Callithrix jacchus: one gene and its partner. The protein of the gene in region 1 interacts with the protein of each later gene in a pairwise test. Links are inferred from orthologs where the notes say so. Each region holds a gene or a part of one and is shown in the gene's direction. Other genes may lie near its edges.

What was found. The genes of interacting proteins can lie anywhere in the genome.
Region 2: the proteins of NEK6 (region 1) and HSD17B14 interact in binary tests that used the Homo sapiens proteins (3 or more experiments, as listed by UniProt). The two-hybrid records come from large-scale screens. The link is inferred for Callithrix jacchus from reciprocal best matches to the Homo sapiens genes NEK6 and HSD17B14.

The regions. Positions count from the first base shown.
Region 1 is NC_133502.1:172,948,323-172,953,607, forward strand, and holds part of NEK6 (serine/threonine-protein kinase Nek6), read left to right. Parts: intron 1-1,509; coding exon 1,510-1,618; intron 1,619-2,475; coding exon 2,476-2,583; intron 2,584-5,285. UniProt on the Homo sapiens protein: Protein kinase which plays an important role in mitotic cell cycle progression. Required for chromosome segregation at metaphase-anaphase transition, robust mitotic spindle formation and cytokinesis.
Region 2 is NC_133523.1:42,661,916-42,667,200, reverse strand, and holds part of HSD17B14 (L-fucose dehydrogenase), read left to right. Parts: intron 1-4,129; coding exon 4,130-4,234; intron 4,235-5,285. UniProt on the Homo sapiens protein: Catalyzes the NAD(+)-dependent oxidation of L-fucose, yielding L-fucono-1,5-lactone, which rapidly converts spontaneously to L-fucone-1,4-lactone. Can also act on D-arabinose and L-galactose, with lower catalytic efficiency. Does not use NADPH.

The DNA.
Region 1 (5,285 bases):
CTGTGGGAAGCATCGAGACTTGGGTCCCAGCTGGGTGCTGGCTGACCTTGGCCATGTTCCTGAACCTCTTTGAGCTCAGTCTCCCATATCAATGGTTACTGGTGTTACTAGAAGTGAGCTAAGGGGGCCAGGCACAGTGGCTCACGCCTGTAATCCCAGCACTTTGGGAGGCCAAGGCAGGCGTGTCACCTGAGGTCAGGAGTTCAAGACCAGCCTGGCCAACAGGTCAAAATCCCGTCTCTACTGAAAATACAAAAAATTAGCCAGATGTGGTGGCACATACCTGCAGTCCCAGCTACTTGGGAGGCTGAGGCAGGAGAATTGCTTGAACCCAGGAGGTGGAGGTTGCAGTGAGCCAAGATTGCGCCACTGGACTCCAGCCTAGGTGACAGAGGGAGACTCTAACTCAAAAAAAGAAGAAGTGAGCTAAGGGCTTGGGCTTTCTAGGTGGGAGACCTGGGGTTGAGCTGTGATTCTACATGAGCCCAGCCCGCCCTCAGGCCCGGCATGGTGGCCACACCCTGCAGGTGCTCTGAGAGTGCCTGCCCAGGTCCTTTCCTCCACCCGCGCCCCTTCCCAGACTGGCACGTCCTGGGTCAGTCAGTTCCCAGCTCTCCAGCACGAGAGCAGCTGCCCTGACCAGTGGGCCCACAGCGCCGCCTCTGCCTGCTTTGGGGAAAGGTGGTTACTTTGAAGCAGAAAGCCCCTGAACAGAAGCTGGCATGCAGGTAACTGATGAGGGAGTCCTGCCGCACTGGCACTGACGTGGGCCTGGCGTCCAGGAGCCATCCCCGTCTCGAGCCGAACGCTGGCTGTGACATGCTCTGGGCCTGCCCTCTCCAGGACCTCCTGTTACTTTAGAGCTCACTCAGTGCCATTGGGGGCTTTCTGTGTTTGTTTTCTTCCTGGAGCGCTAAGTATGTTTTCCCAGGCAGCGAAGCCTGTTGGAACTGGGGTTCCATTTGAGTGAGTCAAGCCCATTTCCTCAAGGTTCTCGCTGTGCTTGTTAAGAATCTCGGTGCACTGAGGTCTGTTGGTTCCGAGGAGGTGGGGGCGGCTGTGATTTCACCACCACGTGTGTCCTGGGTGCCACCCTCCTGGGCCAGGCGAGGGGCCAGGGAGAGTCCACACCCATTTCAGTCCAGCAAGGAGCGCCCTTTCAGGGGTGTGTCCAGAAGGTTCTGGAAAAATGCAGTTGAGGCCCACTTTCAGCATATTTGATCTGGGGCTCCATGCAGCAAAGCCATCTGGACACGCCAGGCCTGTGTGGCCCTCACGGAGCTTGCAGGGTGGGTACAGGGTGGCCACGAAGTGCCATTCAGGTAGAAGTAGAGGCACAGACACAGCGCTCTTGGTTCTGGGCTTATTTTTGCTCAGCAGCTCAGTCTCCCACCCCGTGCCAGTCACCAGCTGTCCCCCGGGGAAAGGATACAGGCAGCGCCCTGCAGCCACCCACCTCCAAGCCCGCTCACCCGGATCTGTCCCTCTGCCTGTCTTCCTTCACTGCAGTACTTTAAGAAGCAGAAGCGGCTCATCCCAGAGAGGACGGTGTGGAAGTATTTCGTGCAGCTGTGCAGCGCCGTGGAGCACATGCACTCACGCCGGGTGATGCACCGAGGTACGCGCCACCCACCAGCCGCCGCCTGGAGCCCGGGGGCCCCAGAAGCCCCAGGAAGACGCATCCCCTTGGCTCCTCCAGGGTCCTCGGGCAGCCCCTTGAGGAAGTCAGACCACTCTGTTTTCCCAGGCAGGGTACTGTCCAGCCACCACCCACTCGTGTCAGTGTCCTCCCCGAGGTGGAGATGACATGAGCCCTAGGGGGCAGGGGCCCCGCTTGACACACCACCTGCAGTTCCTAACAGCAGCCTGGGAGGGAGGTCGGGGAAGCCTTGCACAGAGGGGACTTTGGTAGGGGCTTTGCCATCTCAGCGGGATTTGGCTGCACTGAGAAGGAGAGGCACCAGAGAGGGGCATTTCCACAGTAGACGTCATTCCAAGTGGTAAAAAGGAGCCTTCTGGGTGCCTGGCAGGATGCAGAGTCCTCTGGGTAGGCTGACACCTGTGTTCCTTTACTCTACCTGTATCTTTCAGTGTCTGCTGTACTTGAGACCCTGCCCTTGCTAGGGGGGTACAGTGCAGGGCGTCCCACTGAGCACTTCATTACACAGACTCCCCTGAGGGCCTCCTGTGTGAGGCACTGTTCTAGGCACAGAGGATACAGCTGTAACAGGAGCACAGAAACCCCTGCCCTCTACACCCTCGCAGCAGCTCTGTGAGGTTGGTGAAGGGAGACCCATTTTACAGGTGAAGACACTGAGGCTCAGAAACGGTTAATTTCTGGAGATTCCACAGCCAGAGCCAGGGAGTAGGACCTGGGCTGGGCCTCACCTCACCTGGAGCTCCCCTTCCTCTCGCCCTGCCCCACCTACTGCAAGCTTCCTGCCCCACACCAACCTCCTTCTCCTCACCCCACAGACATCAAGCCTGCCAACGTGTTCATCACAGCCACGGGTGTTGTGAAGCTTGGTGACCTTGGTCTGGGCCGCTTCTTCAGCTCTGAGACCACCGCAGCCCACTCCCTAGGTAAGGGGGGCCTGTGTGTGCCCAGCAGCCCCCAGTGGTCCTAGAGACTGTGCAGGGAGACGAAAGCATTCTCTCCACGTGCCTTTGGTCAGTTTGTGCAGGAAGATGCCATCTTGAAGCCTCAGAGTTTCTCATCTCTTCAGGACAGTGACCCAGAAGGGAGTCAGCTGTGGCCAGAGGAGGCTGGCTGGGGCTTCCTGCACCATCTGATCACCATCTGGGCCTTGCGAGAGAAGCTGACTGAGCCAGTTGCTTGGAGTGGGAGATGTGTCTGTTGAAGGGCAGTCATCCTCCCATTGCTGTGAGTGTCCCATTCACAGGCAGCACCCCGGGTCCATCCCTTCTGGAGGGTGACGTTTGTGCTGTTCCTAGTTTTTGGCTTTTAAACTGGCAGTTTAGAAGCTGTGGGATGAGGTGCCTGCCAGGGAGGAGGTGACATTGTAGCTGGACCATAAAGGGTGACCAGGTGCTGTTGGGACAGGGAAGGAGGGAGCAGCGTTCCAGGAAAGAGTGGGTGAGCCTCGGTGTGCGGCTGAGCTTAGCTTGGCCAGGGTCCTTGCAGGAGCGGCAAGAAAGGTGGGCCGGGGCTTGAACGTCGAGCTCAGTGGGCTGGACCCCACTCTAGGGGTCAGGGGTTGCTAAAAGACTGGACTTGGGAAGAGACTTGGTCACATGTGTGTTTTGGGGACATGTGAAGCAGTGGCAAGCTTCAGAATCCATACACTGGGTATGGAAGCAAGTGTGACAGCTGGAATGCTGGATGATGGAGGATCTTTCATTTAATGAGAACATAGGACCCAGGACAGCCCCCCTGCCTGCAGTGGAATTCAGGAACAGAGTCTCCTATGCATTACTCCTGGGCTGTCTGGGTTTCACCACAGCCGTCTGTGGGAACCTTTCCCAGAGGCCCATGGAGTAGGGGAGGACCCTGCTTTCTCAGGGCTAGTTCTTGGCTTTCTGAGGTACGTTTGCAGAAGAAGATGTCCCAGGCCCACCCCGTGTGCTGCCCCCGCCAGCATCTACTTCCCCAGGAGGGAGCTGGGCCCCAGGAGCTGCTGGCTGCCTCCCTGAACACCGACCCATTCCAGCCCATTTCCACCCCACTCCATGGCTCAGGCCAGGATGTCTCCCATCCCCAGACCCCAAGTGCCTGCAGCAAGCTGGGTGTGAGAGCAGCATTGTCTGGGCAGAGGCACTTTCTGGAAGTCACACTTGCCTATGGAAAGTGTCACTGTTCACACGGGTTCCAGTGAGACTCTCAGTGCGTCGCACACAATTAGGAGAAATGTACAAACCTAAAGACCAGCAGCTCCTAGCAGCTGATGGAGCCAGTGCGGGTGGCAGGGAGGGTGTTGTGTTGAAACTCTTATCCCCATCTGCCTGTGGGGACACCTGGCCAGGCCTCTTCCTTTAGCTCCAAAGGGAAGATGTATCAGGAACGCCCCCCTTGGGAGTATGGGACACTCCACTCATACCCTTGACAGCCCCAGGCATCCAGAGGCTCCTTCCGTGTAGCAGACGAAGGATCTGAAATCCAGGCACTCGAGAGATTCTTCCGAGGTCACAGCAGCAGGCCTCTCTTTCCAGAACCCACGCTGCTTCCTGGAAATGAGGGCCGGGGGCCCAGACAGATACTGTTGGAGCCCCCTTCAGGGACCCAGGCCACTGACTCTGTTACTGGAAGGAAGCCTCGTCTTTCCCTGTCCCCTCAAACATGGACTTTTCTTGTGAAAAACCAAGTGTTTCGTTGAGTTTGGGACTATTTACCTATCTGGTTGAAGAGCTTCGAAAAGACCAGGAAATTCAAGGGAATCTGTCAAAGAGAAGAGTTAAAACCGCTGCCTCCTGTCCCCTGTCAGTCAGCTCCGAGCCTTTCTCTGTCCCACTGCAGAGAAAAGACTGCGGCGCTCCGTCAGAGCCAGTTAGGATCGCATCATTAGGAAGGGGCAGAGATGCGTCTCATCCGACAGTGTGATGTTATTGACTTGGACTGGTGCACTTATTATATTAATGAGAAGGAATTGGAACTTGGGAGAAGGCCGCTCTCATAAGCCAGGCTCTTCCCAAGCCCTCTGAGCATGGCCAGGCTGCATGATGGGTGGAAGGAGCCCTCCTGGGGCCTGTCCCCGCTCCAGGCTGTGTGCCCAGCACCCAGGAGATGTCCAATAAGCTGAGGACTGCACGGGGCTGAGCAAGTCCCTGCTAGCAGGACAAGCTCCCAGAACCAAGGCCTGTACTGCCAGGTTTCAGGATGGTGACAGTGCTGAGCCAAAGCCCAGGACCTGGGTGTGTCTCCAAGATACAGGAAAGACCCCTTCCACCAAGCTAAGTCTCGCGCACACATTTGCTCAGGCAAGAGACTGAACTAATTATCATCGCATGGTGACTCAGGAGGGACATAGGGGCCAGGGCCACCTCACACCCTGTGCGTGGGAATGAATTATGCATCCGCCACATCTCATGTGCACCTACTACGTGGGGATGCTGTGGTGGCAGCCACGTTGCCCTGGCAACCACCTCGTCTCCTAAGACCGCTGACCCAAGAGCTGGGCTTATGCAAATCTGGTCTCCTCTCCCCTCCCCCCTCCTTGGACCCCCTCCCCGCCTCTGTATTTGCTAACACGAGGCTGGCATGAAAGGGCATTAGTCAGTGCCATGGTCGGGCTGACAGGTGCGGTACCCAGCGGTGGCAGAGCGGCTGC
Region 2 (5,285 bases), on another chromosome or scaffold:
GGGTGAGCACTGGGAGGGAGGGAGGGTGGGCTGTAAGGCAGGTGGGAGTAAGAGGAGGCGAGGGCGAGGGGGTTCCCTGAGGAGGAGGCCAGGGGCTGGCCAATGCCCACATCGTTCATGCTCATAAGAGCATGGTTTTTCTTTTCTTTTTTTGAGATGAAATCTCGCTCTGTTGCCCAGGCTGGAGTACAGTGGCACGATCGCGGCTCACTGCAACCTCAGCCTGTCTGGTTCAAGTGATTCTCCTGCCTCAGTCTCCAAAGTAGCTGCGATTACAGGCATGTACCATCATGCCCGGCTAATTTTTGTATTTTTAGTAGAGATAGGGTTTCACTATGTTGACCAGGCTTGTCTTGAACTCCTGACCTTAAGTGATCTGTCCATCTCAACCTCCCAAAGTGCTGGGATTACAGGCATGAGCCACTGCACCTGGCCTAAAGTTCTTAATACTTAGAGTTGTGAGAATTTTTTTTTTTTTTGAGATGGAATTTTGTCCTTTTTGCCCAGACTGGAGTGCAATGGTGTAATCTCGGCTCACTGCAACCTCCGCCTCCTGGGTTCAAGCGATTCTCCTACTTCAGCCTCCCAAGCAGCTGGGACTACAGGCACCCAACACCACGCCCGGCTAATTTTTTCAACTTTTAGTAAGGATGGAGTTTTGCCATGTTGGCGAGGCTGGTCTTGAACTCCTGATGATCCCAGGTGATCCACCTGCCTCGGCCTCCCAAAGTGCTGTGATGACAGACGCGAGCCACTGCGCTGGGCCAACACTTGGGGTTGTTGGAAATTCTTGTTCGTTTATGTGTTTGGGCCTCAGCCTGTCCAGCAGCAAATACTGACTCTGTCTGGTGTCAGGTGATGCTCTGTGGGCATCAGTCATCCCTCCATGCAGTCTCCTGGCTTGTAAAATGGGACTCTCAGCTGTACCTCCTAATCCTCCTCTTCCTCCTTCTTTTTTTTTTTCTGATACACACATTTACTCTTGTCACCCAGGCTGGAGTGCAATGATTTGATATCAGCTCATTGCAAACTCCACCTCCCAGGTTCAAGTGATTCTCTTGCCTCAGCCTCCCAAGCAGCTGGGATTACAGGCATGCACCACCATGCCCAGCTAATTTTGTATTTTTAGTAGAGATGGGGTTTCACCATGTTGGTCAGGCTGGTCTCTAACTCCAGACTTCAGGTGATCCTCCGGCCTCAGCCTCCCAAAGTACAGGGATTACAGGCATGAGCCACTGCTCCCTACCAGCTGTACCTCCTTCTTGTAGGTTCAGGAGAATATTAGAGGGATGAAATGAGCTAATTGCTGAGGACAGGGCTGGACACATACCAGGCCTTCAGTTCATTCATTCATTCATTCATTCATTCACTTATTAATTTACTCAAAGGATATTTATGCAGCATGTGCTATGTGCCAGGAGCCGTAGTGCTGGGAAAGAAACAAAATAAGAAATCTCGACCAGCCCTCATAGGTTTCTGCATCCTGGTGGGAGAGACAGAATGTGAACAAATAAATAAAATGTATATGATCTGTCAGAAGGGAGTGTGTACCACAGAGAAAAGACATCCGGAAGAGGGAAGGGGGCCCAGGAGTAGGGGGACTGCAGTTTTATTTTATTATTTTATTTTTTGGGACCAGGCATAGTGGCTCACGCCTGTAATCCCAGCACTTTGGGAGGCCAAGGCTGGTGGATCACGAGGTCAGGAGTTCAAGACCAGCCTGGCCAACATTGTAAAACCTTGTCTCTACTAAAATTACAAAAATTAGCTGGGTGTGGTGGCACATGCCTGTAATCCCAGCTACTGCAGAGGCTGAGGCAGAGAATTGCTTGAACCCAGGAGGTGGAGGTTGTGGTGAGCTGAGATAGAGTCACTATACTCCAGCCTGGGTGAGAGCATGAGACTCCTTTTAAAAAACAAAAAACAAAACAACAACAACAAAATTATTCTGGTGTGGGGGCACACACCTGTAGTCCCAGCTACTTGGGAGGATGAGGCAGGAGAATCGCTTGAACCTGGGAAGTGGAGGCGGCAGTGAGCTGAGATCGCGCCACTGCACTCCAGCCTGGTGACAGAACAAGACTGTATAAAAAGGAAAAGAAAAAAGAAGAAAAAGAAAGACAGGGTCTTGCTAAGTTGCTTAGGCTGGTCTCAAACACCTGGGCTCAAGCAATCCTCCCTCCTCAGCTTCCCAAAGTGCAAGGATTACAGATGTGAGCCACTGAGCCCGGCCTGCAGTTTTAAACAGTATGGCCAGGGAAGGCCTCGCTGAGGAGGTGACCTTGGATCAGGGTTTGAAGGAGCTGAGGGAGGGTGTTTACCGAGGACAGTCCCTGTTTAGCATTGACACCGTGGACTGAGAGTACCAGGTCCCCAGAAACCCTTCAGAGTCCTGGGCAAACTGGGATGGCCAGAGACCCTAGGAGTGGGTCACGTGGCTCTGTCAGGAAAAGGTGCTCCAGGCAGAGGGAACAGCAAATGCAAAGGCCCTGAGGTTGGAACACGCAGGGTGGGTCTGAAGATACAGCACAGAAAAGGGCGGAGGCCATTGTGGTGGGGAGTGGAGAAGGCTTGAAAGAGTCAGTGGTTGAACAAAATGTCGGAACAACAATTAAAAAAAAAAACGCCGGGCACGGTGGCCTGTGCCTGTAGTCCCAGCTACTCGGGAGGCTGAGGTGGGAGGATCGCTTGAGCCCTAGAGTTCTGGGCTGTAGTGCGCTATGCCGATCAGGTGTCCGAACTAAGTTCGGCATCAGTATGGTGACCTCCCGGGAGCAGAGGACCAGGTTGCCTAAGGAGGGGTGACCCTGCCGAGGTCGGAAATGGAGCAGGTCAAAACTCCCGTGCTGATAGTAGTGGGTGCGTGCCTGTGAATAGCCACTGCATTCCAGCCTGGGCAACATAGCAAGACCCCGTCTCTTAAAAAAAAATAGATAAATAAATAAGAAAGAGTTGGTGGTGGGAACTGCACAGGGAGCTGATTTAGATTCCCGCTCTGAGAAGCTGCTGGGGTGCCGCCTTGTATCAGCTGGTCTTAAGTGGCAGGGACAGGCCTTGCTAGGCCAGCTCAGCTGCCCAAGGCAAGCGAGATGAAAAATAGAGTTTGAGTTTATCCAAGGTCATGTGTAGTCAATGAACACACACATAACAGAGAGAGAGAGAGAGAGAGAGAGTGTGTGTGTGTGTGTGTGTGTGTGTGTGTGTTTATTTAGGGACCTCCCAGGTGGCCAGGGAATTGAGTTGCAGGAGAGAAGGTGGCAGGAAATAGTGCATTTCTTTCTTTTTTTTTTTTTTTTAGATGGAGTCTCACTCTGTTGCCCAGGCTGGAGTGCAGTGACGCCTTCTCAGCTCACTACAGCCTCTGCCTCCTGGTTTCAAGCGATTCTCCTGCTCAGTAGCTGAGAATCCAGGCATGCACCACCGTGCCTGGCTTAATTTTGTATTTTTAGTAGAGATGGGATTTCATCCTGTTGGCCTGGCTGGTCTCAAACTCCTGACCTCAGGTGATCCACCCGCCTCCCAAACTGCGGGATTACAGACGTGAGACGCTGTGCCTGGTCCAGAGTGCCTTTCATTAGGGCCTCATAGAAACCATCTTCCCCCCAATAGATAAAAGAACCTCCTGGCTGGGCGTGATGGCTCATGCCTGTAATCCCAACACTTCAGGGGGCCAGGCAGGGAGGATTGCTTGAGCCCAGGAGTTTGAGGCTGCAGTGAGCTACCAGCATTGCCGCTGTACTCCAGACTGGGCCACAGAGACTTCACTGGAAAAGATCTTCCTCCCATTTTTGAAAAATGTGCAGCCTTCTGGATCTCTCATCGATTTTCCTGACTTGATAAAGACAGGAATTGAGTAACATACAAAGACCCAGGGAGAGGGGAACAGAGAGAGACAGAATCAGACACCCAGGAGAAGAGAGAAATCCCTTCCCGACAAGGAGAGACTCCTTGAGTGCTGAGACCCAGCGACCGCAGGGCAAATCAGAGAGGGGTTTATGTTAGATGCTGTCTCTAGCAGTCACTGAGATAAACTAGGAACATGCCGGAGAGAAGGCCGTCATCCCAGACTTCAGGATGCCTGGGGCTGTTTCAGGGCTCCTGCGGTTTACTTGGCCTCTTGTCTCCCTAGCTTGCCCTCCCCCACCTGCGGAAGAGCCAGGGGAACATCATCAACATCTCCAGCCTGGTGGGGGCGATCGGCCAGGCCCAGGCCGTTCCCTACGTGGCCAGTAAGGTACAACAGCCCCTACCCCTTCTTTCCCTCCCTACTCCTTCCCGTGGGACTTGGCTTTGAGTCCAGACACCTACGGAGCCGGACCTAGCAAGATCCCTAGAGAGAGTCTCACACTCAACTCCCAGATTCAGCACCCAGCTGTAACTGCCTATAGCAGATTTTTGTCTTTTCATTTTCTTTCTTTGTTTCTTTCTTTGTTTCCTTCCTTCCTTCCTTCCTTCCTTCCTTCCTTCCTTCCTTCCTTCCTTCCTTCCTTCCTTCCTTCCTTCCTTCCTTCCTTCCTTTTCTCTCTCTCTCTCTCTCTTTTGAGATGGAGTTTTGCTCTTGTGGTCCAGGTTGGAGTGCAATGGAGCGATCTCAGCTCACTGCAGCCTCTGCCCACTGGCTTCAAGAGATTCTCCTGCCTCAGTCTCTCCAGTGGCTGGGATTACAGGCATGCGCCACCACGTCCAGCTAATTGTGTATTTTTCATAGGGATGAAGTTTCACCGTTCAAGATCTGAGGTCTTGAACTCCTGACCTCAGATGATCTGCCCACTGAGGCCTCCCAAAGTGCTGGAATTACAGGCGTTAAACCACCACGCCCAACCCTTCTTTTCTTTTCATTTCTCTCTCTCTCTCTCTCTTTTTTTTTTTTTGAGACGGAGTCTTGCTCTGTTGCCCAGGCAGTGGTGTGCAGTGATATGATCTCGGCTCACCGAAACCTCTGCCTCTCAGGTTCAAGCGATTCTCCGGCCTCAGCCTCCCGAGGAGCTGGGATTACAGGTGCCTGCCACCATACCCAGCTAATGTTGTATGTTTACTAGAGTGGGGTTTTTCCATGTTGGTCAGATTGGTCTTGAACTCCTGACCTCAACTGATTCACTCGCCTTGGCCTCGAAAAGTGCTGGGATTACAGGCGTGAACCACCATGCCCAGCCCTTTTCTTTCTTTCTTTCTTTTTTTTTTTTTGAGACAGGGTCTCACTCTTGCCCAGGCTGTAGTGGCATGATCTCAGCTCACTGCAACCTCTGCCTCATGGGTTCAAGTGATTCTCCTGCCTCAGCCTTCCC